Canis lupus familiaris: one gene and its partner. The protein of the gene in region 1 interacts with the protein of each later gene in a biochemical or structural test. Links are inferred from orthologs where the notes say so. Each region holds a gene or a part of one and is shown on either strand. Other genes may lie near its edges. The genes, in order: GPRASP1 and OPRD1.

The links.
Region 2: the proteins of GPRASP1 (region 1) and OPRD1 form a complex in vitro, tested with the Homo sapiens proteins (2 studies listed by BioGRID and IntAct). The link is inferred for Canis lupus familiaris from reciprocal best matches to the Homo sapiens genes GPRASP1 and OPRD1.

The regions. Positions count from the first base shown.
Region 1 is NC_049260.1:76,613,183-76,629,501, forward strand, and holds the start of GPRASP1 (G-protein coupled receptor-associated sorting protein 1), read left to right. Parts: upstream 1-5,391; 5' UTR 5,392-5,527; intron 5,528-5,640; exon of another isoform or gene 5,641-5,747; 5' UTR 5,748-5,806; intron 5,807-6,044; coding exon of another isoform or gene 6,045-6,084; intron 6,085-7,793; coding exon of another isoform or gene 7,794-7,893; intron 7,894-8,084; coding exon of another isoform or gene 8,085-9,771; exon of another isoform or gene 9,772-10,105; intron 10,106-16,319. Other genes in the region: ARMCX5 (armadillo repeat-containing X-linked protein 5), read left to right, coding at 6,045-6,084, 7,794-7,893, 8,085-9,771. UniProt on the Homo sapiens protein: Modulates lysosomal sorting and functional down-regulation of a variety of G-protein coupled receptors. Targets receptors for degradation in lysosomes via its interaction with BECN2.
Region 2 is NC_049223.1:71,078,025-71,093,747, forward strand, and holds the end of OPRD1 (delta-type opioid receptor), read right to left. Parts: intron 8,119-15,723; coding exon 7,769-8,118; intron 5,349-7,768; coding exon 4,807-5,348; downstream 1-4,806. UniProt on the Homo sapiens protein: G-protein coupled receptor that functions as a receptor for endogenous enkephalins and for a subset of other opioids.

The DNA of each region.
Region 1 (16,319 bases):
TTTGTAACTTTGAGGTAGAAAAGATTTCTTAGGGACACCTGGGTGGCTCAGTGGTTGAGCGTCTGCCTTTGGCTCAGGGCGTGATCCTGGTGTCCTGGGTTTGAGTCCTACATTGGGCTCCCTGTGAGAAGCCTGCTTCTCCCTCTGCCTATGTCTGTCTTTCATGAATAAATAAAAAAAAATCTTAAAAAAAGAAAAGATTTTTAGGACAAAAAATCATGAACCCTAAGAGAAAAAAAATTAAACATCTTAAAATGTTTTGCTCCTAGAAAGACAACATTAAGATAATGAAAATACTTGCAAGAGATATCTAACAAAGGATTTATATGCAGAATATATTTAAAAAGTTACAAATCAAAAAAATAATAAAATTTACAAATCAATAATATGAAGACAATCCAATATAAAATCAAATATAAAATATTTAAAAATCCAATAAAATCCAATCCAATGTAAAATGCAAAACAAATATAATATCAAATGTGCAAACAACAGTGGATTTGTCACAAAAGGAGATATATAAATGGCCAATGAGCACATAAAGGGATATTCAACATTATTTATCATCATGGAATTGCAAATTAAAATTAAAATGAGAAACTTATATGAAATCTCGATAATTTCTAAATCTATTTTAATTTTTTAAAGATTTTATTTATTTATTCATGAGACACAGAGAGGCAGAGACTTAGGCAGAGGGAGAAACAGGCTCCCTGAGGGAAGCCCAATGTGGGACCCGATCCCAGGACCCCGAAACCATGCCCTGAGCCAAAGGCAAATGCTCAACCACTGAGCCACTCAGGCGTCCCTAATTCCTAATTTTAAAAAGGCTGACAGGGCAGCCCCGGTGGCTCAGCGGTTTAGCGCCACCTTCAGCCCAGGGCGTGATCCTGGAGACCTGGATCGAGTCCCATGTTGGGCTTCCTGCATGGAGCCTGCTTCTCCCTCTGCCTGTGTTTTTGCCTCTTTCTCTCTGTGTGTATCTCTCATGAATAAATAAGCAAAATCCTTAAAAAATAAAATAAAAAGGCTGACAATATCAGGTGCTGGAAAGAGTGTGATGCAATTTGAAATCACATGCATTTTTGTTGGGAATATAAAACAGTATGGCAAGTTCAGACAATGGTTGTGTAGTTTATTATAAAATTAAAAATATACTTACTATAATATATATAAATACCACTCCCAAGTATCAATCCCACTCCACTGTGAGATCTTTTAAAATAATACTGAATTTTTCATGAATATAATATAATTACTGTAGAAATGTGGGAAATACAGGTTATAAAACTATGGGGAAAACTATAATCGAAATCATAAATACAATAACTACTGATTTTTGCTTTTCTTTGCACATACCATTTCCCTATATAATTTATATTCTGGATAAAATTGTTTTAGAGAATATATTTTTTCACTTGGCATCATTTCATAAGAGTTTTCCCTATGTCATTAAAATTTTCCTAAACATAATTTTAAGAAAGCAAATTGCAAACTACTATAAATAAACAAGTAGAAAAATCTTTGAACCAAGAAATGGTGGAAGCAGAAGCTTTGGGGGAAATAGGGGCCTCAAGATAGTGTGTTTTTAAAATGGGAGAAAAAAAACAGCATGTTTTATGCTGCTGAAAAGATAACTGATTACAATGAAATAAGTATAATGAAATCTTTTCTTGAAAAATGTGTGTGTGTATATGTGTGTAAATATATATACACATATTGGCATTGATAAAAGTCTGGGAGGGTATATATCAAAATGTTAGGAGTATTTATCAGTGTTAGGAAATGCAATATATATATTTTTAATTTTCCATATAATTACTAGGTTTTCTACTGTGAACATATATAACTTATGTAATAAAAAATAAGTTAAAGGATATGGAAGAGACACATTCCTAGCAATTTCAATAGAAAAAATACAATAGAAAAGAAGCTGAACCATTTTTGGGATAAGGAACATTTCTTTTTTTTTTAAGGATTCATTTATTTATTTTTGAGAGAGAGTCAAGAGAGGCAGAGGGAGAAAATATTCAAGCAGACTCCCTGCTGAGCACAGAGCCTGATACAGGGCTCAATCTCACTACCCATGAGATAATGATCTGAGCTGAAACTAAGAGTTGGACACTTAACTGACTGAGCCACACAGGTGCCCCTAAGGAACAGTTCTAAAGCAACCTATGGATTTAGTTAAAAGTATGATCGTGAGAACTATCTCACTGTTCTCTGTTTCCTCCAATGGATGTGCCCAAATCTGGAACCTTTCCAAAACAATAAAGGTGCCTAAGAAATAGAATGTATATCTCCCATATACAAACAATAATCATAAACAAACAATAATCATTGTTTTCAATAGGTACCCCTTCTATTCTTTGAGTGTTTCATAAGTATCAACAGTGCTGTTTTACATCTGATTTCTGTATGGATTCAAATACATTCTCCTAAATGGAAAGCATTATCTTTGGTAGTAGTAGTAGTACTAGAATAGCATTTATTATGGACTTACTTAGTAAACTACATTGTGAATCGCACAGGAAAAGTGTGTAAAGAAGTATTAGAAGCTCGTCCTTCAAATCTGGAGGGTAAGCCACCTACCCTCACTAATGTTATTGCAGAATTAGAAATATTCCTAAACAAACAAAAAGGACTCTCTCACTGTTTTTTCCTGACACAGTGGCCCAGCTTAGAATCCAAGGGTGTAGGCCTGCAGAGTTTTAGCATTCCTAAGAACATGTGGTATAGGTTTTTTTTTTTTTTTTGGTATAGGTTATTAAATATCCTATGATTCTAAGGAATATATTAAATTAAATTTTATTTTTGAGTGGTTAATACAAACATGGGGTTCCAAATTCCAAAAGCACAAAAGTTCACACAGGTAAGTCTTCAAGTCTCCTTCCACTTTCTCTGCAAATAGGTTACCCTTCAAAAAAGGCAAGCACTGTTACCAGTTACTTGTTGATATTAACAGGGATATTCAATGTATACATATATGTAGTAAAGTATCATTAAGCAAATGATGGCACGCTAAACATTGCTATGCACCCTGTTTTCTTCACTTAAAAATGTGTTTTGGACATCATTCCATATCAGTATACATAGATAGAGCTGCTCTTTCTTTTTAATAGCTGCATATTACAGGGAGATACACCACAATTTTACTATTTATAATTATTTAGAATCTTTCCAATCTTTTACTATTAAAAAATTCTGCAGTGAATATTTTTTTACATATAGTATTTTGCAATGTACAAATATTACATTAGGATAGATTCTTTAAGTATAATTGCTGGTCAATAGTTATGTGCATTTGTGCACATGTCCCTTGACTTGTCTTTTTAATGAACAGTCTTGTCATTTGTTTTTCTACTGGATTGTTGGTCATTATCCTTTCTTTATAAGTTCATAGGGGTTTGCACTATATTAGGGAGCTTAGTAAGGCATAATTCTAAACATGAATAGAAGACCAAAAAAGAGGGAATCCCTTGGTGGCTCAGGGGTTTAGTGCCTGCCTTTGGCCCAGGGCGTGATCCTGGAGTCCTGGGATGGAGTCCCACATCAGGCTCCCTGCATGCAGCCTGCTTCTCCCTCTGCCTGTGTCTCTGCCTCTCTCTCTCCTCTGTGTCTTTCATGAATAAGTAAATAAAATCTTTAAAAAAAGAAGACCAAAAAAGAGTAACAAAGCACCAAATCCAAATTATATGTATCCACCAAATGTTATTACAGTATGAGATATTAAGATACCCCAAGTTTCTTTCTAAAATATATTTTAGTAAACTCTTGCTTCCTCCCTCCTCTATTGAAAAATCACATATAAAGCATCTCCTGTGTGGCAGACTCTAGGCTACGCTCTGGGGTTACAGACATTAAAGACAAAGACATACTTTTAGGCAGGCATTGATCTATAATCAACAGAAGATATCGTGGAATTCTCATGAGTCAATGGTCTTCACTTCCTTCAACTATTAACTGACTACTTTGTCTTCCATGTATAACACTGAGAATACAGTGGTGAACAAGACTGAGAAAGTGGCCCTTCCTTCATGGAACTTACAGTCTAATTCAAATTCCCTCCTGACAGTGCTTGGAATGCAAATTCAAAGAATTTTATATATTCAGAGATAAAGCATATGCATTCATTAGGCAGGTGAGAGAAAAGGAGGCAGGAGAGCAGCTAGGATCTGCCTTGAGAAGTACATGGGTAGTATCCCTTTCCTTAGATAGAAATGTGGAAGAGAAGCCAGACCATCCCTAACTAGTGCCTGACACCTGGCCGTGAGGTGACAGATAGGAAGGATTGCATGACCGGTTTGGATCCTTACAGAGACAGGCCCTTTTTCTTGAGCAACTGTAGGGACCTAGAAATGGCACAGTGTGCTACCGTTTCAAGTGAGAAAAAAAGCAGCGTGGCATAAAGAATGACTTGGCACAGATCAGTGGTTTGTTTCTTTGTGTTAGAGGGCAAGGTCTGCTTTCCTTTAGAACAGAAACAGTAACGAGGCCTCCACGGGAACCCCTTCCCACCTTCTTCCTTTCCACCGCCCCATAAGCAATGAAAAAATTTGGGAAGGCCACCATAGAACCTCCAACATAGGTGGTTTACAGGTACAAGGTTATTTGATGAGTAAGCTTCTTTCATGAGTACAGAATTGTTACCCTCTTGTGCACGCTCAAGACCACACATATTTAGGTGCAAGAAATACTGTGGACAGGAGGAGAGGCAGGGCGTGAGAATGGGATAGGTACACACAAGAATATTTGGAATTAAGATGCTTCTCTCCTTTACTGCTTTCCCCATATCTTTATCCCATTTTGCCTTTACTATTTTAGTACAAGAAACACGGTAGGCAATAAGATGAGAAACTTAGAAGATAGCAATAAAAGCCCATGATGTTTGATATTGTTCAGCAAGTCAGACCAGAGTAGTCTTCCAGACACCAAGCCCACAGTATCCCATTTTGTGCAGAGAATTAAGTGCTTGGTGCTTCAGCTTGAGGTGTCTTCTCTCATTGACGGCTTTTGGAATAGATTAGAATGTACCCTCTTCCCTCAGTCTTGAGCCTCTTTGTCGACCCTCTCATCCCCTCCCCCAACCCGCCTCTTTAGGTGGACCTAGGACTTTGGAAAGTGTGTAAGACACTGAGGTATCCTTCCGCATGGTCGGGCCAGAGTGGAGTCAGCGACGCCACCGCCTGATAATCCACATGCGCTTCAGTTCAAGAAAAAGCAAAAGTGTTGGCTTGGTTGGGGGAAGATCCTGAAAGAAGGGAACTAACTAATGCTGAGACCCTTTAGTGTTGGTCTGCTTCCCTCTGTATCGCGCCGCTTCTTCTACGTTCAAATGCCGCTCCAGCTCTTACCAGGATGAGAAAAGGCTAGAGTTGAGCTCACCGACAGAGGGCGCAGTGGCGCTATACAAAGCTTAGTATCACTCCGCTTCTGTAAGGCCGGATCGCCTTACACAACTCTCCAGAGACTGCGGCTGCGGATATGGGTACGGGGACGTGGCAAAGCAAAGTCTGCGGAGGAGAAGGTAGCTGTTAATTAGTCACTAGACGTGGGTATCGGAGGAGCTTTGGGTAGGGGGGTAAGGGAATACCAAAAAGTGGCAATTGTTTGCAAGTTACGGCCCTTAATATGACAAAGCAGGTTTCACGTCCGAAATCCCAGGTGCCGGGCCAATCCACAAACGTAGTCGCCGCCATTGTCTCGAGTCCTCGTGTCCAGCTGACTGTCCGTCCCTCTTTCTGTAGGGCACAGCACCCCTTGAGGCAAGGAAATAAGAGAACTGCCTCTGATCCAAGCAGAGCAGGTCAGTGAGAAGGCGGGCATTTCTTGGGAGTGTGGATATGGGTATCAGAGAGAAATCTGGGAAAAGTGATCTGGTCGTGGGGCGCGGGCGGTGAAAGGGAGAGGGGGACAGGGGTAATTTGAGTGGCACGCAACTATAAATTTAAAATGATCTTGCTAGCTTGATTTCCAGACACTAACTCCACCTCCGACCGTATTTGGGAAGGTAAAGGAGTATAGTAGCGGCTTCTAGCGGAGAAATGGCGGTTTGTATAATGGAAGGAGGGGCTATTGCTGTAGGTGAGCGTGGTTGTCAGGGGAACCCTGGGAGGGAGAGTGTAAAAAGCAGTTTCAAGTGTTTGATAATCAAGGCCCTGGATTAGAAAATGGTCTCATGTCCTGGTTACTAGTCAGACCATTAATAACCAAGTCTCTCTCACTGCCTTTTTGTTTGGTCTTTGGGTGTGTATCATGCGTTTACATATTTAGGTCTGTTCTGAAGTTTTCGGTACAGATGTTTTTGTAAAGATCTGTAGAGGGCCTTGGACCTCAGAGGGAGGGGATAAGAAAAGGACGCTGGGCCTAATTTCTGTGGAGTGGGCAGTGTTTGGAGTTGGTAGATGGCTAAGACTAGAACAGGCAGGAATCTAGGTGAAACTCCAGATCTCCTTTCTACATGCTTTGTAAACAGTCCTCCCTTACTCCTGCTGTGTTGCAGAAAATGATAGGCTTTAGGGAGAGGAAGGAAACAAACGCTTAGATGAAATTTGGAGATAATACTTTTCATTTATTTGCAGCCAATTTCCATGGCTTGTCTGAGCATTTCATCTCTACTACCACCACCACTATCTTGTTAGGGATGTAGGAGTTGTCTGTGTAGGGGAATTGTCAGACTTTAGGAGTGGAGCAGAGGAACATGAAGGGAGAGGGAGGAAGAAAGGGACACAGAAAATTTTGGCAAACAGGTACCTGTCTCCAGAAAGGATAGGTGTCCCAGGTGCTGATCTCTCCTAAGGAATTAGTCTCCATTGTCTCATGTGTCTTCATTTACTTATTTATCACCACATTTGTGACTCTCTGGCTATGGACCCATCTCCAGGTCTGTGGAACTCTGTTGTGAAGGTTTACAAATGGTAACCCAGCTTGAACCTAGGAAATAATGAAAAGAAACATGCCCTGTATCAGTTAACGATTGGTGTGAGGGTAGACAGGAGAAGATTGAGACTAGGGAATTCTATTCTCTTTTGTTTTGCCAGTTTACTAACCCCTCTTTGGTTCCCTGCTGATTTAGATAGGAGTCTTTGAAAGCTTTGGGAGTATAGAAGGGTAACACTTGTTTTTCCGATTTCCCACTTGCTTTTCCTATTTTTATGCTTCACCTAAGCCAATTTTAAACTAGAGAAATGAAAGGACAGTCACTGAATAGTAAAATGGTGGGCAACAGGGAGAAGGAGGATCAGTCCTGAATTAGGGCGATGGTGGTATGGGACCAGAAGGAGGGAAACATTACACAAACTACAAATATAGGAACTAGACCAAGGACCATGATCTTTCTACCATGAGGTCAGTGTCCATATCCTCCGATTTGTTTATTTGTCCATTGATCTGCCTGTAGGTCTGCCATAGGGCTTGTCAACATCGGAAGCAAGGAAAGGAGGAGAAAATTACTCCAGATCAGTGAAGTTTGGTATGAATATGGAGACTTCCTCAGTAGACGTGTAGGATGAAGTAGTAGTCCAGCAGGGATAAAGAGCCAGTCTAGGGATTCCTTAGTCTCTCTCATTCCCATTAAGCTTTCCCACTCCATACTCCTGTTTTGTGTCTAGAAAGAAAATTAGTAGCACCTGAAGTTTTGTAGAGAGTGTGAAATGAGGAGAGAGAGAGTTTGATAATTATCTACCTCTCTCACTTAGCCCTGAATGTTCATACTCTCCTGTCTCTCTGTGCTAATCAACGTAAGAAATACATTGGAAGAGACTCAAAGCCCCATTTCCTTCCTCCACTCCTAGGTCCAACTTCAGTGGCAGATCTGGTGGCCTTGGAGTGGCTGAAGACCACCACCCTCCACAGGGCTGCGCTCAGGCACAAAGCCATTCTTCCTTTCCCTGAGTGAGCTTCCTCTGCACGTTGTTTATATCATTGGCAGAGCTTGTAGGTGGAAAGGGGGCTGAGTGACGAATGGACTTTGTATGAAAACACCAACCTGGGACAGACCTTCAGTCAAGGCTGAGACGGGGTTGGGGTATATAACTTGGCCTTGCCTTTAACTTGGATCATGACTGGCTCTGAGGCTGAGGCAGGGGCAGAGCAGGTGCTGGGACTGCCCTAAAAGCTGGAATCAGTAGCCCTGCCAACCCTAGAGCCAAGGCTAGGATCCAGGCCAAGGCAGTGGGTGAGGCAGAACTGGAAACAGGAACAGTGACCCAGGCCAAGGCTGGGGATGGAGCAGTGGCCAGGACACAGACAGTGACCTGCACTGAGGCCGTGGCTGTGACAAGGGATGTGGGCAAGATGGAAACTATGACTAAGAATAGAGTCATGACTGAGACTAAGGCAAAATCCGTGGCAGAACCTGGTATAGTGCCCCAAACCAAGTCAAAGGTGATGCCTATGGCCAGGGTCAGTGCAATAACCAAGTGTGAAGTCAAGGCTGCTGCTGGAAGTAAAACTGCTATCAGGTCCTTTGCCAAGGCTGATGATAAGGCCAGTATTGAGTCCAGGCCCGAGAGAAAGAGAGAGGATGACATCAAATTCAGGGCTGAGGCTGGGGACAGAGCTGGTATTATAATCGAGTCCAGTGATGAGGATGAAGAAAATGTCTGCTCCTGGTTCTGGACCGGAGAAGAGCCTAGTGTAGGATCCTGGTTCTGGCCTGAAGAGGAGACTCCTTCTCAAGTTTATAAGCCTCCACCTAAGATCCAGGAAAAGCCCAAGCCCATACCCAAACCTGAACTCACCATAAAGCAAAAAGCAGCAGCATGGTCAAGGGCCAGGTATAGTGTCCTAGTCCCAATAGAGGGAGGGGAGCCATCCTTGCCTCCAGAAGGGAATTGGACTCTGGTTGAGACCTTGATTGAAACTCCTCTGGGAATTCGGCCTCTGACCAAGATCCCACCCTATAAAGGGCCCTACTTCCAAACCTTAGCTGAGATAAAAAACCAAGTTAGGTATAGGGAAAAGTATGGGCCCAATCCAAGAGCCTGCCGCTGTAAATCACGTGACTTTAGTTTGGAGCCTAAAGAGTTTGATAAACTCGTTGCCCTACTTAAGTTAACTAAGGATCCTTTTATTCATGAAATAGCTACTATGATAATGGGCATCAGTCCTGCTTATCCATTTACCCAAGATATAATTCATGATGTAGGTATTACTGTTATGATTGAAAACTTGGTCAGTAATCCCAATGTTACAGAACACCCTAGAGCTTTAAATATGGTAGATGATAACTCTGAGTCTTCTGAAGAACGAAAACCAGCAGAGTCATACATACATCAAGTTTGTAAGGACATAATCTCTTATCCATTGAACTCCCCTGTGCAACTGGCTGGACTAAAATTATTAGTGCACCTGAGTGTGAAATTTGAGGATCACCATATAATTGCAAATTACATTCCAGATTTCCTTACTTTGTTAAACAATGGAAGTGTCAAAACTAAGTTTTATGTTTTAAAAGTCTTCTTGCGCTTGTCTAAAAATCAAGCCAATACAAGAGAACTGATTAGTGCCAAAGTACTATCATCATTGGTCGCACCCTTTAACAAGAATGAGTCAAAGGCCAATATTCTTAGTATCATTGAAATATTTGAGAATATAAATTTCCAATTCAAAAAGAAGGCGAAGCTGTTTACCAAGGAAGAGTTCACTAAATCTGAGCTTATTTCCATATTCCAGGAAGCAAAAGAGTTTGGTCAGAAACTCCAAGACTTAGCAGAGCACAGTGATCCTGAGGTGAGAGATAAAGTTATACGATTAATACTCAAACTCTGAATAGCTGTATGTTCTCACAAAACCGTGAACAATTTTTTTGGTGTTGTAATATGAAGCCATGCATATTATAATTGTAAGTTAAATATTTATGTTATTTCTATTGATTGAAGGAAGCGATTTTATGGATACCAAATGATCTTGAGAGCTTTGAGTGTTTGTTGATTTTTATTGTGCTATATAAATTGAGATATTTTTAGTATTTCTGCAACATTACCTGATAATGAATCTATTCATCCTGAGTAAGCTATATTTCTGTGCTTTATATTGACATAAGTGTATTCATTTGAGACTTTATTTACGTGTTAATAAAGTTATACGCTAAAACTGATGAAAACATTGTCGTAGTTCTTCAGTTGAAGTCTAGTTAGAGGGATCCCTGAGTGGCGCAGCGGTTTAGCGCCTGCCTTTGGCCCAGGGCACGATCCTGGAGACCCGGGATCGAATCCCACCTCGGGCTCCCGGTGCATGGAGCCTGCTTCTCCCTCTGCCTATGTCTCTTCCTCCCTCTCTCTCTCTGTGTGACTATCATAAATAAATAAAAATTAAAAAACAAACAAAACAAAAAAAACCATGAAGTCTAGTTAGAAGGATAAAGCACAATTATCACAAAGATGATAAAGAGTACTGTCTTTGTGTGTGGGACGGAGGGTACAAACAAAATAAGTTCACATAGATCCTGTAGTTTCAACGTGTTCAAGGAATGGAATCACTCAATACCATGAGAGAGGACTATGCTACTAGATGACATTCTGGGCTCATCTGGGGAAGGGGGTGAGGACACAGTCCTAGGAGAAAGGGAACATATATACTTTCATTCCAGTCTGAGTCCCAGAACCTCTGTTCACCCTTTAACATAGGATATCTCATCAGGATACCTTGAAGCTTTTTAAGTCCCAGGAGGATTCCTGGTTCTCACTCCCATTCAGCAAAGACATGGGAGTATGATTCTGAAAGGACCCAGCCCCACCATGCCCTCAAACTCCAGGTACCCCCATCAAGGTACCAGGTTTACTGCTTCATCCCCTGTAGTCCTGGGCCTTAAAGAAAGGTCTTCCTGGAGACCAACTACAAAAACTGCTTCATGGATAGTCTCATTTGTCTTGCCTTGGTGACTGTTTACTCTCATCCTTGCTTTTGTTTGCTTGCCAGTACTTTGGGCTTGGTACTTTGCACCTATCCTGGTGGCAGCACCTTGTTTGTGCTGACCCCTTTTGGTCAGATTTCAGCAAGCTGAGCTCAGTGAGATGGCTATAGGATTCCAAAGTCCTTTAGGGATGTGTGGTTAGGAAGAAATTAATTCCCCTAGTTCCATTATCCTATCTATTGGTGCAGGTTACAGAGCTGAAGCCTTGTCTGTACTGCTTCAGCTCCTCCTGCCTATACTTAATGAAAACTAGGTTCTGGCTGGGGGTTACTGGCATAGATTTCAGAGTATAGATTGGGATCTGGGATCATCTCTGCTTCCTTTGCTGTTATTGTTCTCTTTCCTTTACTACTAAGAATTGAGAAATATAGATATTAGGATCAGTGTACAAATACTAGTCTTTCTTTTAAACTTCCTCTTGTTCCTAGTTTATGTTTTTGATGGAAGACCTAAACTGAAAAACTTGAACAAGGTTTCATATACTCCCAGTTTTAGAAGCCATGCTTAGTTTAATTTCCATTAAGGTCAGTTCTGAACTCATCTTTTATACACTTAGGAATTGAAATGAAGGATAACTGGCCACACATGTACATTAAGTGTGAAAAAAGTAGGGTTTTTGCAATATGTAATTGCAGCTTAGATTTTTGAAGTTCTTTGTAATTTTTTTTAAGTAGGCTCCATTAAGCATTGAGTCCAACACAGGGCTTGAACTCACAACCCTGAAATCAAGACCAGAGCTGAGATCTAGAGTCAGATGCTCAACCTATTGAGCCACCCAGGTGCTTGTTTATAATTTTTTTAATCCCCTGGAATTCCAACTATGTGTACTAATTTCAGAGTTGGGGTTGTCACAATACAATTGGACCAGGCCCTTTGGAAATATTCTCTATCTCAAATGCTCTATGGAGCACACAATCAGTTGACATCTATGGAATTTTCTATCAGCTAAAGAGTGGGGTATGCAGCTATTTGTTTCAAAGCAAGAAGCTGATGGTTTCTCCTTGGGTGGGAATTAGGGGAGACATTCATTTCCTAAATTGTTCCTGGGGTGTGCTTGAAGTCAAAACCCTATTGCTCATCCCTTGTTTCACTCCTTTCCTGGAAAAATAATTCAGGCAACTCCATGTAGTATCAGGGCTGATCTGATACTACTTCTAAAATGTTGCTGCCTGGGAGTAAAAATCAGGATGGATTTCTCATCTTCCTGTTACGAAGTAATCTTCCTACAGCACACCTGGACTGTTAGCACACACTGACACTGTCTACCATACCCTCAATTTTAAAAGAGGACTTTTCTATGGGAATTCATCTTTACAATATCACCAAATTCCCCAGTAAGACTTTCAGAGCTCTGTATCCTTCACCTTTCTATTTTTCCCATTATATCCCACTATGTGGCCTACATTCAAACCACAATGGGCCAATGTTTCCATACTTTTAATGCACTTTCCTGCTTTTGTTTGTTTGCTTAGGCCAACTGCAATGCTTTTACAAACCTTTTTTTTTCTTTTTTTTTGCTTTTGGGCATACTACTCATTCCTTTTAAGGTCAGCTCAAATGCAAGGTTGTTTTGAAGTCTTCCCTGACGTGCTTATCCTCCTTGTGTCCATGTTGGAATTAATAGCCCCTTCTGCATTTCCAAAGTTTTTTATTTACTCCTCTATTTTAGCATTTGTGTCTTTATATTGTGCCTTGGAATCTTCTTAGTAAGTTGGAGCTTGTATTTAGAGTCAGCATAGAGGGGGAAGCTTGGGCTTTGAGAATATCTGAATTTCAAAGCCTGAACTTTTTATTATGTGTAGTAATAATAATTATTAATACTTATACATTCATTAAGTGTTTACTGTGTGCCAGATACCATCCTATGTGCTTTACTTGTACTAACTCATTTAAATCCTAAAACATCCCTATGGAGTAGGTCCCCCTATCCACATTTTACATGGAGAAAGCTGATATACTGATTGGTTAACTAACTTGCCCAAGCTCATTGAGTTGGTTAGCAGCAGAGCTGAGATTCAAACCTTTGCAGTCTGAGTCTGGAGCCAGCATATGTACCCACTTTGTAACTCCATAACCCCACATAGCTTTACATTAGTAATGTACATGGCCCATCTCAAACTTAAGTTTGAGTGATGTAAGATTGCACAGGTCCCTTATCTCTTCTGCTTTGTTCCTGTAGGACACCTCCTGGCTTTATCTTCATTCCCTACCCAACTAAGCATTTATGGTCCATCATTTTCAACATGTTTTTAAGTACTTTTTAGTGTGGTAAAATACATATAACATGAAAGTTGCCATTTTAATGACTTTTATGTGCACAATTCAGTGATGTTAATTGCATTCACAATGTTGTGCAGCCATCAGTACTATCTATTTCCAAACTTTTTCATCACCCAAAAGAGAAACTATATAAACCATTAAGCAGTAACTCTCAATTCCCTCCTCCCTTCAGCCCCTGGTAATTCCTAATCTACTTTCTGTATCCATGAAAATGCCTATTCTGAATATTTCTTTTATATATAAATATATTTTTATTGAAGTTCAATTTGCCAACATATAGTATAATACCCAGTGCTCATGCCATCAAGTGCCCTCCTCAGTGCCCGTCACCCAGTCACCCCATACCCCCACCCGCCTCCCCTTCCACTACCCATTGTTCATTTCCCTGAATATTTATTATAGGTAGAATCATATGATTTTGTTCTTTTGTGTCTGGTTTATTTCACTTAGCATGTTTTTAGTGTTTATCCATGTTCAGGCACCTGGGTGGCTCAGTCAGTTAATCATCTATCTTAGCTCAGGTCATGATCCTAGGGCCCTGGGATTGAGCCCCGAGTGGCAGGAGTGTTGGCTCCGTCCCTCAGCACAGAGTCTGCTTCTCCCTCTCCCTCTGCCCCTCCCCCTTTCCCATGTGTACACTCTCTCTCCAAAAATAAAGTTTATCCATGTTGTAGCATGTATTAGAACTTTATTCCTTTTTTGTGCCTGAGTATTCCACTGTGTGTGTGTGTCTGCATATCTGTGTATCTGTGTGTGTGCACCAAATTTTGTATATTCTTTATCTGTTGATGGGCACTTAAGTTGTTTCCACTTATTGGCTATTATAAATAATACTGCAGTGAACATTGGTGAACAAGTATCTGTTTGAATCTCTTCTTTCAAAATTTTTATTTATTTTTATTATTTTTTTAAAGATTTTATTTTATTTATTCATGAGAGACACACAGAGAGAGAGGCAGAGACACAGGCAGAGAGAGAAGCAGGTCCCATGCAGGGAGCCCAATATGGGACTTGATCCCAGGACTCCAGGACCACACCCTGGGCCGAAGGCAGGCACTAAACCGCTGAGCCATCCAGAGATCCCCTGCTTTCAAAATTTTTAAATATAAACCTAGAACTAGAATTTCTGAACCATATAATAATTTTATGTTAAGCAATTTGAGGAACTGCCCAATTTTTCCACCGCAGCTGCACCATTTAACAATTCCATTAGTAACAGCAGGGGTTCTAGTTTATCTACATCCTTAGCAATACTTGTTATTTTACATTTTTAGTAGCTATCCTAGTAGGTATCAAGTACAATTTCATGGTAGTTTTCATTTGCATTTCCCTAATGACTAATGGTGTTGGGCTTTTTTTCATGTGTTTATTGGCTATTTGCATATCTTCTTTGGAGTAATGTCTAGTCAAGTTCTCTGCCTATTTTTAAATTGAGTTGTTTTGTTGTTATATTGTAGTAGTTCTTTATATATTAAGGATACAAGTCACTTATTAGCTATATGATTTGCAAGTATTTTACTCTAGGTTTTTTAATGTTAATGATGTCCTTTGATGCATAAAAGTTTTTAATTGTGATGATGTCAGATTTATCTATTTTTTGTCTTTTGTTGCTTGTGCTTTTGGTGTCATATCTAAGAATACATTGCCAGATCCAAAAGCCAGGAAGATTTATTCTTGTTTTCTTCTGAGAGTTTTATAGTTGTAACTTATATTTAACTCATTGATCCCTTTTGAGTTGATTTTTGCATACGAAATGAAGAAAGGATCCAACTTCATATTTTTACATATGGGAATCCAGTTGTTTCAGCACCATTTGATGAATAATATAGTCTTTCTCCATTTAATGGACTTGGCGCTCTTGTCAAAATCAATTTGCCATAGACATATTGGTTTATTTTGGGACTCTCAATTCTGTTCCATTCATCTCTATGTCTATCTTATACCTGTACCACAGGGTTTTGATTACTGTAGCTTTGTAATAAGTTTAGAAATCAAAAGTGTAAGTGCTCCAACTTTTTCTTCTTTAAAAAATTTTTTAAAAATCTGAATCCCTTTCCATTCCATTTGAATTTTAGAATCAGCTTTTCCATTTACATCACAGAAGCCATTGAGTTTTTTATGTATATTTTTATTGAAGTTCGATTTGACAATATATACTATAACACCCAGTACTCATCCTGTCAAGTGCCCCCCTCAGTGCCTGTCACCCAGTCACTCCATCCCCCTACATTGGGATTTTAATAGGGATTGCATTGAATCAGTGGATTGCTTTGGGGATATTATTATCTCAACAACATTAAGTCTTCCAATCTATGGACATGGGATACCTTTATATTCATGTAAATCCTTAAATCCTTTTAGCAGTATTTTGTAGTCTATATACAAGCCTTTCATCTCCTTGGTTACACTTATTCCTAGAGGTTTTATTCTTTTAAATACTAGTGTAAGTGAAATTGCTTCCCTAATTCCCTTCTCAGATTATTCATTGCTGGTATATAGAAACAACTGATTCTTGTGTGTTGATCTTTTGTAAATTTTTGTGTGCTGTAACCTGCAACTTTGCTGTATTTGTTTATTAAATTTAGCGGCTTTTTTGGTGAACTCTTTGGGAATTTCTCTATATAGGATTATGTCATCTACAAATAGCAATACTTTTTTTTCTTCCTTTCCTATTTGGATACCTTTTATTTCTTTGTCCTAATTACTGTGGCTAGATCTTTCAGAATAATGTTGAATAACATTGGGGAATATGGGCATGCTTGTCTTTTTCCTGAATTTAGGGGGAAAACTTTTAGTCTTTCATTACTGAGTATAATGTTAGCTGTGGGCTTTTCATAAATGCCCTTTATCATGTTAAGGAAGTTCCCTACTCTGCCTAATATTCTGAAATTTTTTTATCATGAAAGAGTATCAGACTTAATCAAATGTCTTTTTTGCATTAAATGAGGCTGTTATGTGGGTTTTATTGTTGCTGTTCTATTAAGGTGATGTATTACACTGTTCTAGTAAAGTGATGTATTACATTGATTGACTTACAAATATTTACACTCTTGATTTCTTGGAATAAATCCCTCTTGGTTATGGTGTATAATCCTTTTGATATGCTGTTAGATTTAGTGTGCTA
Region 2 (15,723 bases), on another chromosome or scaffold:
CCTGGGCCACACCCGGCCTGGGGCTCTAGTCTGTCGGGATCGGCAAAGGCTCTCTCCGCAGCCCCTGGCCCGGGTCTGAAGTCCCAAGACACAGGCCACCTGCCACCAGAACCGCAGGGTGGGCCGTGCCGTCTGCGGCCTCCTCCGGGCTCCAGCCTGGGTAGGCTCAGAGCTGGGGGCCACTCCCCAGGGTGCCCAGGGATGAAATAAAGGAATGCATAATAACGAGTAAATAAATAAGGGAGAGCTGTGTGTAGTGTTTTGTATGGGTGCAATGGGACCAGGACCAGGACCTGGAAGTGGGGGGGGGGGGGGTAGGTGCAGGGGTTACTTCCTAGGGGCTCTGGAGCCTCTGAGCTGGTTCCCAGCCTGGATCTGCCTTAGGTCCAGGCGGAGAAGGCAGCCAGAGGCCAGGGGTTAAGGATCTGCTGCTGAAAACGGAGGGGCTGGTCTTTGGGCAGAGGCCTAGTGGGGGGAGCCTAGCCTGGACTGTGGCTCCTCTAAGTCCTCCCCAGACGCTGGTGGCTTCCTCCACCTTGAGGAGCGTTTCAAATTCCAAGCTAGGCAAGCCTCCTTAGCTGCCTCTGGCTCCCCACTATTGTCGCAGAATGATTCTGTGTCAGGGACCTACTGTGTGCCAGGCACTTAGGTAGGCGCCTCACTTGCCGGATCTCTAGCCTTCCAACGGGACTCTAGGAGGTGAAGTGACCTGCCTAAGATTACACTGCTAGCAACCGGCCAAGAACCCAGCAAAATTGGGACTCTTTTTAGAGATGAAACATCAGAGACTGACCCATTCCCTTGTTTTAGGTCTAAGAGACAACAGATGCTCCGAGAGGGCAACTCCTCCCTTGCGTCGGTCACACAGCCAGTTAGCTTCACAGCGGAGACTGGAATTCAGATTTAGGGTTTCCCAAGCCATGTAGGAAACTGAACTTGAAGGCTCTGGTTTATTCCTCTCCTGCCCTCCCCACCCCCAACCTCTCTTATATGACACTTGACATTATCCATCACTTCCTCCCCCTGGGAACGCCTTCCTCCTCCAGTTTCTATGGCAGCATATTATCCCCATCCTCCTCCTGCTTCTCCGGCAGCTTCTCACTCTCCGCTGTGGTTCCTGAGCCTAGAAGGTGGTGGGATCCCCAGGCCAGGTCCCCGGTGTCTTCTCTCTGCATTGCTGCCCCTGAAAGCTCATCTAGTCTTCCCTCTAGGCCTCCAGCTCTGACCTTGAGCTGCAGGACCGCTTCTAAGTAACAACAGCCACTTGCCCTGTGCTAAGAGCTTACCTGTATTTGGGACCCTGTGTTTGCACATTAGCTTATTAAATCCTCACAACGTCCCCATGAAGAAAGTCCGTTCTACAGATGAGGAAACTGAGGCAGAGAGGGAAAGCCAAAATCTGACTCTAGCTTTAACCACTACTTCTATTACCACAAGAAAAGATAGGAAATTGTAGGACGTTTTGAAACCAGAGGCAAAAACTTGCCTCCACCTCCTGAAGAGAGGGGAGTGGAAACCTGGTGGGGGGGATCAGACCTACTTCATGGTTTTGAGAGCCCTGTGATGATCTAGAATTACACTGTCAATTTGGAGCTTTAAAGTGCATCATGCACAGTACATTCTGAAATGTGAAGATTTGGAGAGCTCCAGGAGGAACAAAAGTTCAGGGAAAATTGCCCTTTTCCTTCAGATTTTTCCATTTGGTTTTAAGTCTTCAAAAATCCGCATTCCGGGGTTTCAGCAACTAAGGTTCTTCTATATTGATGATGCCTGGAATTCACCAGAAACTCGGATGCTGGAGTTCTACTGACCTGAGGCTCTGTGACTAGGGGTGAGTGGCTTGACCTCTGAACCTGTTGTCTAAAATGAGGGTAATAGTACTTCCACTTGGCTGTCATGAGGCTTGGATGGGAAAATGTGCATAAAGCACTTGGCACAGAGCCTGGCACTCGAAAGTGCTCAGTTAAGCTCCATACTTGAGATGCACATGGCTTTTCTCAGGTTCGCCAAGCACCTTAACATTTCCATGCTTTTGCACATGCTGTCCCCTCTTCTTGGTGGCCAACTCCTACACATCCTTTAAAGCCCTCTATTTCCAATGTCTTCTAGAATTGCTACAAATGGGTTTTAGTAAAAAGCTAGAAAAGATACTTTCCCGTGCCATCCTCCCCAGGGCTTCCTGTCACTGCATGCCTCGCACTGAGATGCAATGATCTGTTGATGCCTCGTGTCCCAGGCTGGGCTTGAATTTCCTGAGGGCAGGGCTATCTCTGACTTATTTCTGAGTTCCAATGCCTGGGGTACACAGCCTGGTACCAAGCGGATTTCAGTACAAGCTGGCTTTACCTTAAATGCGCATGGTCTGGACCCAGCCTCTGCTGACTCCAGGACAGATTTATGTATGAAAAGTAGTAAAAAGCAGCCAGGTCTGTTACAGCCTTTGGAAATGGCAGTGAGCAGGTCCAGGGCAAGCTTAAGAGAGGGTTGAAGGGGACACAGCCCTTGCAGGGAGAATCAACAGCCCTGGATCCAAGGTCACCTTCTTCAGAAGTCTTCCCCCATCCCTAAATTGTCCCCTGTCTCTGACATCTCTCCAAGGCATTAGCAGGAAGGGTCCCACACAATGAAGAGTGTCCAGGAGGGACCCCCGCCTTGCTGATACCCCACCCCCTCAAGCATTCAAACACAGAAGTCTCTATGGGCACTGAGCACTGCCTTACATCTTCCAAAGTGCTACTGAAGCCATTTCCTGGAGGAAGAAAATTCTCAGATCTGGAGCTTCTTGGGGTCTGCACCCTGAGATGGGGCTGTGCTTTGTCTACTAAAGGGCATCCCTACCCCTAATGTGCCCAAAGCCCATCCTGGTGCCTAAACCCCCAACCTCCTGAATGGTAGTTCTTCCCCTGCTGGAGTGACAGTCTCCCAGACAAGGGAGAGGCTTTTGTTCCAAGGAAATGACTGTCAAAAGGGAGAAGAGGTATCTTCTTTCCTTTTTTTTTTTTTTTTTTTTTTTGGTTTGAGACAAAGACGTCAGTTTCTTTCCATCTGTCCCAAAAAGGGAAGAAAAAATTAATTTGTTTCTACAAGGATGTCAGCTCACTGCTTCAATAGGGAGGCAGGGGTGCGGGACTGAAGCAGTGTCTGTGAGGGGAGGGGGCGGGGAGAGGAGGTGAAGCACGGGGGAGGCATAGGGAACAAGGACAGTCCCTGATAGGAAAGCAAAGACCTAGGAATGCCTGAATAAAATGCCAAACACATGAAGAGAAAAACTTCTATGCCTCGCTCTGGGTGGACCTGCCCTCAGCAGCCTGAAGGGGGCAGCTGGGGCCGGGTGGGGGCGGGGGCAATGGAGGGGCACACAGATGCTCACACTGTAGCCATAAAAGCCATCTTCCTCCCACTTACTTCAGAGACAGGCCCCTGTGTGGGCAGTTCCAGTTCCCTGGAAACACTGGACACACTGGTGCAGCCAGGTATTGGGAGACGGAAGAGGATTTCCCAGGGGTTCTTATCAGAGGCACAAGATGGGCAGGAGGAAAAGTCTACACCGGTGCTTCAGAGGCCCCCACCCAGTCCCGGTGGCCACTTACCATCCTTGGAGCTCTGACTAGCACGGTCCTCTGTCCTCCAATAGCTGGGCAGAGAAGTCAGACCCCTGGGGACCCCAAAAGTGTCTGTCTTCCAGCTTGAGGACCTGATGTCATAGCAGAAGTTCCCCAGGCTTGCTTCTGCTTCTGCCCTCCCACCACCCTGGACACAGAGGCCGACTTGCAGCTCTGATTTTGGAGCTCCAGGACCTCGCTTCTCCTTCTGAGCCCCACAGAAGGGCCGGGGACCTACCCTTAGCCTGAAGCCGATGGCCCTGTATCACTGGTATGTCCCAAGCCCCACTGGCACAAAGTGCTGGGGACACTACGTCGATGCTTGAGGCCATTCCATCCAAGAAAATGACTGTCAAGGATAGAAAAGGTATATTGGGGATCCCTGGGTGGCGCAGCGGTTTGGCGCCTGCCTTTGGCCCAGGGCGCGATCCTGGAGACCCGGGATCGAATCCCACGTCGGGCTCCCGGTGCATGGAGCCTGCTTCTCCCTCTGCCTGTGTCTCTGCCTCTCTGTCTCTCTCTCTCTGTGTGACTATCATGAATAAATAAATAAAATCTTTAAAAAAAAAAAAAAAAGAAAAGGTATATTGTTTCTCTCTCCCTATTTTCTGTTTATTTATAACGACAGTTCAGTTTATTTATAACGACACCAAGCCTATTCCCTGGACCTCCGCAAGCCCCATCTCTTGCTAGAACTCGGGGCTGGGACTCTACCCCAAGGCTGAGGCCACAGGCCCTACCCTATCTTGTGGCCTAATGTGAGCTGCAGGCCGACTCACTGACCTGTCCTACCCTCTGGCCCCCAGAAGGGGTCCCTCCCCACCACACAACAGACACCCAGGCTCGCAGCCCGGTTCTCAGGGTCCCCCCCTGCCCCCTGGGTCCTGGGTCCGGATCTTCAGGTCCCAGGCCAACAAGGCCGCCTCTGGCTAGAACCCGAGGTTGTCCCAAGGTTGAGGCCGGCCACCGCGGAGGTCCCATTCAGCAGCCCGGTCCCAGAGCCACAGCCCCCACTCCCCCAGTCGCGCTCCCCGCCCCCAGCCTCCAACCCAAAGCCGTGGACCGCGCCCTCCGCCCGGAGCCCCGCCCCCGCCCCCCGCCCCTCGGCTCCAGCGCGACCCCCTTCCTCCGGGGCCGGGCCCGGGGTGGCGGCCGGGTGGGCCCGCAGGGGCGCGGCGGGCGGGGCCGGCGGGGCTGGCGCGGCTTAGGCGGCGGCGCCCCCGCCGGGCCCGTCGGACGGGGTGCAGGCGGTGACCCGCTCGCGGGCCGTGGTCTCGCGGGCGCGGCTGAAGCCGCCGGGCTCGGGGCGGCCGCAGGGCGAGCGGCAGAGCTGGCGGAAGCAGCGCTTGAAGTTCTCGTCGAGGAAGGCGTAGAGCACGGGGTTGAGGCTGCTGTTGGCGTAGCCGAGCGCGATGCACAGGTGCAGCGCGGCCACCACGAGCGGGTCGCGGCGGTCGATGTCCACCAGCGTCCAGACGATGACGAAGATGTGGATGGGCGCCCAGCACACCACGAAGGCGCCCACCACCACCAGCACCATGCGCGTGATGCGCCGCAGGCTGCGGTCCTTCTCCTTGGAGCCCGACAGCAGGCGCACGCTGCGCAGGCGCAGCAGCATCAGGCCGTAGCACACGGTGATGATGAGGATGGGCACGACGAAGGCGAAGAGGAACACGCAGATCTTGGTCACCGTGTCCCAGTACCAGCTGGGGCTGGGGAACTGGAGCATGCACACCACTGCCCCGTCTGCGGGGGAAACAGGGAAAGACAGCAGGTGAGGGGCGAGTGGGCCCCGGCGGCCCCGCCTGCGCGCCACCCTTCTTGGCTCGGTGGGGGCCCACACCTCCCCGCGGCCCCTGTTCACAGGGATTCTTCCGCCTGGAATGTCCCCCAACACTTCCAAAGCTGGTGAACTCCTGCTCACCCTTAAAGACCCCAGTGGGATTGGCCCTAATCTGGGAGGTCTCCTTTTCTGTATTTTCTCCTGGTCCCTTTAGAAGCCTCTACATGAATGGACGGCAGTAATGATCTAATTTAGCCCAGACCCACCGAATGCCAGTCACTGTGAGAACTCAAAACACTCTACCCATTTCCAGACTAGCTCCAATGAGGACAACCCTGCTCAGACTGATCTAAAGAGCACTGATGAGTTAAGAGCAGAACTCGGCCCCTACTAATGTGTGGTGTGACTCTGGGCAAATTATTCAGCCTCCAGGAGAGCTTCCATAAGGTGGGACTAATATGAGGAATCAATGGGCTAAGCCTCCATAAAGTGAGACTAACGTGAGCATTCTATGAGCTAAAGCATGTGGAACATTTAGCACAGGGGGGTTCAAGCTCTTCATGCACTCACAGGGCAGAGGGGCAGGTACATATAGAAGTCCAGAAGTCAGGGATAGGGGCAGGGAGACAGATCTCAGCTTAATAACAAGAACTTTCGGACTGCCAGATTTGTCCAGAGGTGTCCCCATAGTGGAATGAGCTCCCTATTCCCGGAGTGTGGGCGTGGGCTGGAGGAGCACCTTAGGGATGTTTGGGATACAGGCCTAACACTGGCCCACTGTCCGTCCGCCCAAGAGCTCTTGGAACTCTGGGTTTTGAGGAGCCAGGCAGTGGACTTGGAGCCTGAGACGGGTAGGAAGGGTGCTGGGGATCTACAGAGTGGGTCCACCCCACAGCAGGAAGGCAGAACCGCCAGGATGACTGAGGCCAGGGATTCCACTGTGCAGATGGCAGAACAAGGCTCAGAGAGGAACAGCACTCATCCAAGCTCACACAGCAAGTTACATACAGAAGCAACAAGCACTGAGTGGGGGAGTGTGTGTAGGGGATAGAGTGTGGAGTGAGGAGGCCCATCTGGTCTGGCACCCAGCTGGGATGCAGTTAATGGCCCATAAACTGAAGGCTGACAGTGAGGAATGGGGCCCAGCTGCTGAGTCAAGACCAACTGCACAGAAGCTGTATGAGGGCACCAGGGCCTCGTCGTTGGGGGAAAGGGGAAGTCAAAAGTCCTCCCACCAAGCCTATTCCCTTTCCACCCACAGCACCAACCCTCTGCAAACCTCCACGCCAGGGGGCAATACCAGTAACAGATATAAGGGCAGAAGCCTCAGGTTCTAGGTCAAATTCCACCAAATGCCTGCCGTGTGACCATAAGTAAACCACTGACATCTCTGATTCTAGATGTTCTTTCGGTCAAATAGAGGTCAGAGTCCCTGCCTTGTCCTAAGTATTTTACACATCTAGCCTCCTTTAAACTTCTCAACACTCCACGATACAGTGTGGCTCAGATAGGTTAGTGACCGGTGTGGTTGGTCCCCTGCTAAACTACTTGTCCCATTTCCTTATGTCAAGGTGGGAGCCATGTAACCAGCTATCCCTAGGAAGAGACAGGCCAGAACATTTAAAAGCTGGTCATGCTCTCTCATCACTCCTTCTCCATATTTATCCGCTTGCCAGCAGTGGAGGATTCCAAAACCATCATCTGGAGCCTGGGTCCCTGAAGAACTGTGGAATAGAGCTCGCCCTCCCCTGACTCACGTTAGACTGTGACATGAGTGATAAATAAACCTCTATACTGTTCAGCATTGAACTTTGGAGATTGCCTGTTACAGCTGCTACCTGGATACAGGTAGCTACTATATTAATTACCATTCTTATTCTGAGGAAATGCACCTGTAATTTTCTGAAGGCTATTCTCTAGGCCTTGCCTTGGTCATCTGGGCCAGTGGTTTTCCCACTGAGGTGGAAGGGGATTTGGGATGAGATTGCAGATTTTATGGCCTCCACTGCTCACTTGTCAGTGACACCCTCACCCCATTGGCCATCCATCCATCTCCCTTTAGTCAGTCATCCACACACTCCTGGCCAGCTGCTCCACACCCTGCCCCCTCCACAATCCCATTCATAAGTTTCCTTTGACCAGCAACCCATCTGACCACTGACCAGTCATTCATCCTCACAACAGTCAACCATTCACATTCCATTGGTTGACTCCCTACACTCTCACTGGTCAGCCATCCACACTTTCATTGATCAGTAATCCACACCTCTACCGGTATAGAGCCACCTCCGCCCACTCTAATAAATGTCCTGCAAACCCACAAGGGCCCACATGCTGCCTCCTGTGGTCAGTGGCCTGTACCACAGCTCAGCCACTCACTCACCCCGGGGGCGGGTCACAGCCATGACCATGATAGGTACACCCACACCCGAGGCCAGGACCCAGATGCAGATGTTGATCAGCTTGGCCTTGGCCGGTGTGCGGAAGTCCAGAGCCTTGACAGGGTGGCAGACAGCAATATAGCGGTCGACGCTCATCATGGTGAGGGTGAAGATGCTGGTGAACATATTGTAGTAGTCAATGGAGAGCACAGCCTTGCAGAGCAGTTCCCCAAAGGGCCACGTCTCCATCAGGTACTTGGCACTCTGGAAGGGTAGTGTGCTGGTGGCCAGTGCATCTGCCAAGGCCAGGTTGAAGATGTAGATGTTGGTGGCTGTCTTCATCTTAGTGTACCTTAAAAAGAAGTGTGTAGGTTATTGTTCCCATTCCACCGATTTCAGTTTCACATGAGACTCAGAGAGGGGAAATGATTTGCCTGAGGTCACGCAAAAAGTCTGGGGGCAGAGGTGGGACTGGAATCCTGACCCACCTAACTCAGCATCACATCTTTTCACTTTACTGGATGCAAAAGGATTTCTCTGGCTGTGGCTGACTTTGGCAGAAGGCATTTTAGGAAAAACCCTTCATCTTCTGAGGGGTACTAAGCAACACAGTTAAAAATAAAACTGGGCTCCGGGGACACCTGGGTGGCTCAGCAGTTGAGCATCTGCCTTCAGCTCAGGGCATGATCCCAGGTTCTGGGGATCAAGTCCCACATCGGGCTCCCTAGAAGGAGCCTGTTTCTGCCTCTGCCTATGTCTCTGCCTCTCTAAATAAATAAATAAATAAATAAATAAATAAATAAATAAATAAATAAATAAAATTTTTAAAAAAATAATAAAACTGAGCTCAGACAAAAACAGGTCTAGGTTCTAACCCTGCTTCTATTTATTAACTGAGGGACTCTGGGCTAGTAAGTTGAAGTCTCTAAGCCTCAGTGTCTGTTAGCTGTAAAAAAAAAAAAAAAAAAAAATGCGGGGTGGAGCAGGGGAGATGATGCTTTTACCAACCTCATAGGGTCGTTGTGAAATGTAATGGGATGATACTGCACTTAGTCCTGAGCCCAAAGCATTGCAAATGCTCAGTATATGAGGGTATTATTCTTCATCTAGGAAGGCTGGAGACTAGACCAGAGTGACCTGACCCTCTAGCTTCTGCCACTGACCTTTTGGAAATATGATTGGCCAGCTCTGAGGAAGGGACCCTGCCTCTGCCTAGCAGACTGGCTGGGGCCTTAGACCTCCTGGGGTGCCCTCTGTGGTGGACCAGGGTTCTCAGTCCTTCCTGTAGTCTCATCTAGACCTCCTTATCCCACTCAACTGCACTCTCCCATACATCCAATCCAGGGATGAGCCCAGGTATCCAAGCCAGGGATGAGCCAACTAAGCCCCCCTGCACCTGAAACATTCCTCCATGCTCTACACCACTGTGCAACAGCCTGTGTCACAGCTGGCCCCTTCTTTGGCCAACATTTCTGCCCTGGCCCCCTCTGTACCAGGACCTGTGCTGGGCCAAGGACACCCTACCAGGCTACATACACTGAGATACACTGTCCTAGTGCAGTGAGATCATCGCAGAAACACACAGGTACACCGAAGCAGGGATAAGGACTCCTTTCATGCCCCTACAATGATCTGAGAAATCCAGAGAAGGGTGGCATGAGCAACTCCCCAAATTTCAAAACAGGAAGAGCCCTGAGAGAGGGAAAGTGATTAGATGGAAGTGTGGTCCAGGGACTCCCTTCAGAATTCCTGGAAGAGCAGATTCATTGACCCCACGCCAGATCTATTAAATCTTAATCTTTGGCAACCAGGCCTGGAAATTTTCACCTTTTTTTTTTTTTTTAAGTAAGCTCTAGGCCCAACGTGGAGCTTGAACTCACCACCCTAATATCAAGAGTCATATGTTCTACCAAGTGAGCCAGCCAGGTGCCCCAGAAATCTTCATCTTTAACAAGCACTACCCCCAAGTGATTCTTATGGGCTCTAAAGTTTGAGAAACATGATGTGGCCTAAAGCCCAGATGAGAAGACAGGGAAACTGAAGCCCAGGGAGGTGGCATGACTCACCCAAGGTTACACAGTGACAGCGGCAGAGCCAAGGCAAGAACTTAGACCTCCTTCCTGACTCCCAGACCAGTGCTCTCTCTCCACTCTGCCCCAAGGGTTGAACCACACTGCATGCCTCTACCCCTCTAGAAACCCCCCGCTACCACACCCAACCCTGGCGACCAGGATGCTACGGTGGTGCCGTGAGAGCTGACGAATGCGCTCTGAGTGCCCTCAATGTGTTTTGAATGACCGAGTGAACTCATACCAGCTAAGGCTCTCTCTTCATGAAAGGACTGTTTTGATTTGAGTCACTCATTGTCCTCCAGGGCCAGCATCAGTCCCATTCCTTCCCCAAATAGCTGTCATTTGCCCTGGGGCTGGAGAAGCAAAAGTTTTGCTCGGAGACAGCAGAATTTCAAGTCTCGGGAAGTCTGTCTTCAGCAGGGTGCGGGATCACAGCTGTGTAGGAGGCGGTCTCAACCCCACAGCTGACTCGTCTAATTTCGCTTCTTTTACGCAGAACAATTAGAGGCTGTTCTTTTCTTGCTATTTTGATTTGTGAGGATCCTTCAATTCCCAGAGGGGGCTGGGATGCTGGGAAGTGGGTGATGAAGCTGCTGTAGCTGGTCCAGGCGGGCTGAGAGGCACCACACTGACTGCTGGGCAGAGCCCGAGAGGCTCCCATCCTAACCAGCCCGCCCACCTCCTCCCCAGCTATTGAGGCTGCCAAGCCTGGCCCTACTGGCCTCCTCAGACAAATCATGCTGCTCTCCTGTTCTCAACCCACTAGTGGCTCCCTGAGGTTCTCTCCAGATTCCATGAACTGTTCCTCAAACTTTCCCCTTGACGGATGGGCCCTCAAACCCTCCCCCCATGGTTTCTTTGCTGTTCCTTGGACGTATTGAGCCCATTCCCACCTCAGGTCCTCCGGACTGCTGTTCCTTCTGCCTGGAACCCCACATTTTGCATGGTTTGTTCCTTCCCTTAATTCAGGACTCTATTCAAATGTTACCTCTGTAGAGAGGCCACACCTGGCCACCCTATCTAAACTACCTCTCTCCCCACAATCTATCTCCTTACGTTTGCTTCAATTTTCTTTATAGCATGAACCAGCACATAACTTACACTTTTTTTCTCTCTATTTGCCTCTTTCACCCATGTATGCTCCCCGAAGGTAGAGGACTTTGTCCATCCTATTCCTTGCTCTATGGCTGGGCATACCAATTGGACCCAGCAAATAGCAGGCCCTTGAGAGACACTTGTATGCAGGTCCTAGTCCAGGCCTCATGGAGACCACAGAGCCCCCACTCTCCCCCACAGTTCACCATCCAGGTAAGTAAGGGTCCTCACTACAAAAGTAGATTTGCTCAGGATACTCTTACTGCTGACAATTCTTCCATGGCTCCCCATTGTCATCTGGATGAAAATTAAACTCCTCAGACTGACATTCCATCGGGGTAGCCTCCTTTCCCACAGTGCCTTCCATGTCCAGCCACATCTGTAGTTCCTCAGATGTCCAATCTAGCATGCCTGCCCTGCTAAGGACAGCCATTGTAATGGTTGGGGGGGAATCCTTTACGCACCACACACACAAACACATACACACACACACACACACACACACACACGGCTTTTTATAAAATTTTATTTCTGCCAATGTAATACAATTACACTGTGTAAAAAAGCCATATAGTACTACAATGAAAACAGGTTCCTCACTCCTCTTTCCTGCTCCCCAGAGGCAACCACTTTTAATATTTTTAGTTATTCTTCTAGCGATTATCTCCATAATTCTAAATAACATGCTTAAATGGCTATATCCTCATTTATCAGTTTTACACAGTACATGCTGAAGTTTGTATCAGTTAAGCCACGCTACACAGAAGTAAATAATCCCAAAATCTCAGTGGCTTCACAAAATAAAGGTTTATTTCTCATCCTTGCAGCCTATAGAGTATCTGTAGGACAATTATATTCCATGAGGCAATTCCAGCCTGTTTCAATCTTGTGGCTCTGCCATCTTAACCCACAGCTTCCTTGATCACTGCTGAGGGAGAAGAGACAGCTACAGGGTCATCTAAGCTTCATTCTAGTGGCAACATAGCATTTCCACCTGGAGCTGAGTGACCAGACTGGTCATGTGGCCCCACCCAACTACAAGGGTGCAGACTATACAAGAAGTATAGTCTTCCATGTGCCCAGAAGCAAGGAGCACCTGATTTTAGTGAACACTAGCAATGTCCTCCACAACCCCTAATACACTAGACAAGTATTAACTCTTACACTACCTAGCTCCACTTCTTTTCTCCACCCTTTCAATATAGTTTTATCACAACTTCTAAATCTTTTAATTAATATTTGGGGTTTACATTCTTTGTTTAGGGTTTACATTCTTTTTTTTTTAAGATTTTATTTATTTATTCATGAGAGACACAGAGAAAGAGGCAGAGACACAGGCAGAGGGAGAAGCAGGCTCCATGCAGAGAGCGCAATGTGAGACTCAATCCTGGGACTCCGGGATCACGCCCTGAGCCGAAGGCAGACGCTCAACCGCTGAGCCACCCGGGCGTCCCCAGGGTTTACATTCTTATGACTTTATACATATTGTCCATTGCTGAACCAAATGGCATCCTATAATTACATGTATTTTCTGTACATATTTTTTTTCTGGAGTTAATAATTGCCTCTTTTTTTCCTCATTTGCTTAGTTCTATGTACATATTGCTAAATCTCCTTGAGCATTCCAGCAGATATGTAAAATGCTTTTTCCATACAGTCACGTAGGCTATCAGATCCTTTTGTTTTCCTAGTGATCCACCTCCTGGAGCCTTCCTTTTCCCTTTAATTTGGGACTGGCTGCTTTCTAGACCAGCTACATACCTGTCCTCCTATGTTGATGAACCTGCTTTCTGGTTTGCAAGTCTTTTCTATCTTGGTCTATGCCCTCATTTTGGTGAAACACATCCTCTAGTCACTTCCTAAGAAAGGGTACATAGGAAGTAAAATTTTTATATCCTTGCATATCTGAGAATGTCTTTATTCTATCCTCCCTTCTAATTTCTTTAACTGTATATGGAATAGTTGGTTGGAAATAATTTTCCACCAGAATTTTGAAGGCATGGGTCTCTCATCTTCTAGCTTCCAATAGAGGCTGGAACCATTCTGATACCTGATGATGTATATATAATCTGTTCTCCCTCCCCCACAACCAAAACTTTTAGGATCTTCTCTTTATCCCTGGTATTCTGACATTTTGTGATGATATACCTTAGTGTGGTTCTTTTTCATTTGTATTGGGCTCTCTCATTCTGAAGATTCATGTTCTTCAGTGTGAAATATCCTCACTTCATTTATTTGGTCGTTAACTCCCCTCTGCTTCCTCTGGAATCCCTAGAAAATTGTCAGTCAGATATTGGGCATCTTGATTGATCCTTTAATTTTCTATCTTTTCTATTTTCCATCTCTTTGTCTTTTTGGTACATCCTCTGGGAAATTTCCATTTCATTACCTCTCAACCTTTCTATTGACTTTTTTATTTTATTTTGGCTCTCATGTCTTATTTTCCCAGTGTCATTTCTTTTTCTTTTATTATTTCTTTTTTATATAGAATTTATAGCATCTTATTTCATGGATACAATATCTTCTCTTATTTCTCTGAGGATACTAATAATTTTTGCTTTGTATTTTCTTCCACTCACCGCATTGTCTATTTGCTTCAAACATTTCTGTTTATTTGTCTCCTTGAGCTTCCCCTTTTATCCTGGAGGCTTCCTTCAAATATCTAGTGATATATGACTAAAGGTTGATTTTTGAGTACGGCACTAAATAACTAATTAGCAGCCCTGTGTGTGTGTGCGTGTGTGCATGCACGCATCAGTGTGGGGGTCCTGCCAACTGCCTTATAGGGGAACTGGGAAAAATCAAGCTTTTATAGTGGGGAATATCTAAATATCATTGTCAGTATGTCATTTCTCTGGGGGCTTTAAGAAAAGAATCCTCCAGTCTCCTGCTTGGGGAGCATACATCTGGCTTTCAGGATTATAAAAGCAGACCTGGAGGAGGAGTCAGTGGACTCCCCCCCTCCCCCACTTTTCTTTTGGTATCTCACTCTGACCCTTTCTGTGTCTGCTGGTCCCAAATTCAGAATTCTCCCAGGTTAACTTCTCAAGGGAAAAACCCTTAACCTCATGCAGAGTGGAGGGTAGTCACCTGACTGTGCAGTGTACAAGGGGGGAGGAGGGCTAAGGGTCTCAATGCTCCCTCTATAGATAGGCCATTCCCTGCCCCTGTTTCCAGCCCCACACCTCACTCCTGCTCAGCTTGTTACTCCCCTTCAAATTGCTTTTCATCATCCAAAACTATGTTGACATCTCTTAAGGAACATAAACTGAGGCACAACAGAAGAAGTAAACTGTCCAAGGTCACATGACCAGTAAGTAGCAGAGAGGGTATTTAATTCAGGCTATCTAGTGCTGACATGTGGTAATGACTTTGCTATACTGCCCCTCAGTGCATGTTACCTTCCTTCCTGTCCCCACCCTTCCTGCCCCACAGTTAGTGAAAAAGTCAAGGAATGTAAATTTACTATAGGCTGATATTTGTTCACCCTTCTAACAGGCATTAATCAGCATCTGGTATATGCCAGGCACTGAATAAGGAATATGGGAGTGAAGATGATAGCCCAGTTTCTTAAAATTTATGCTCTTAGGGAGGGATCAGACATTGAACAAATTGCTACACTAATTAATGTACAGTTATTCACCATTACTGCTCTACCATGAAGGATACGAATAGGGTATAGTGATGGACACTACCAAGCCAGAGTGCGGCGGTGGTTTATGGAAGGAATCTGGCTTAGATTGGAAGGTCATCAATGGCTTCTCTGAGGATGTGTGCTATGAACTGAATTAGAAGAAGAGACATCTAAGAGCTTGCTTCTCTCACCTTCTCCCTCTCCCCTCCCTTCTTGCCAAGTGAGGACACAGCAAGAAAGTGGCCATCTAGAAGCCAGAAAGAGAGCTCCCTCATCAGAAACTGACCATGCTGGGACCTCGATCTTCTATTTCTAGCCTCCAAAACTGTGAGAAAATAAATTTCTGTTGTTTAAACCACCCAATGTATGGTATTTTGTTATGGTAGTTTGAGCTAAGACAAGGTGATATCTCTACCAAGTTAGAAGGAATGAGAAGGAGCTAGCCATGTGACGATAAGGAGGTAGGTTGTTTCAGGCAGAAAGAACAGAATGTGCAAAGACCCTGTGACAGAAAAGAGCTCAATGAACTGCAGGAATGGTCAGAAATTAAGTGTGATTAAATGGCAATAAGCCTGAGAAGAAGCAAGATGCACCAGGGAGAAGTCAGCAGGGGTCAAATCATGCACAGCAAGAAGTCTGGATTTTATTCTGAGTGCAGCAGGAAGTCACTGGAGATTTCAAGCAAGGGAGTGATGCAGTTTGATTTATATGTGTTTCTTAGAAGATCACTTTGACTGCTGTGTGGAAGCTAAAGGAAAGAAAAGATTGGGTAAGAGACTGAACTTTCTAGAAGGATATTTCATGTACTTCCCCACCCCTACGGTTGTTCTCTAATTTTTTTTTTCTATTTCCAAAAGTTGTAGATATGACATTAGATCTTTGCCTTATAACATATAAAAAAATTAACTCAAAATGGATAAAAGACCAAAAAGTAAAAGGTATAACTTATAGCTCATAGAAGAAAACAGAGGAGGAAAAGTTACATGATACTGGATTTGGCAATGATTTCTTGGATATGACACCAAAAACCCAGGCATAAAAAGAAAAACAGATAAGCTGGACTATATCAAAATTAAACAATTTGGTGTGGCACCTAGGTGGCTCAGTTGGTTGAATGGCCAACTCTTGATTTCATCTCAGGTCATGATTTTGGGGT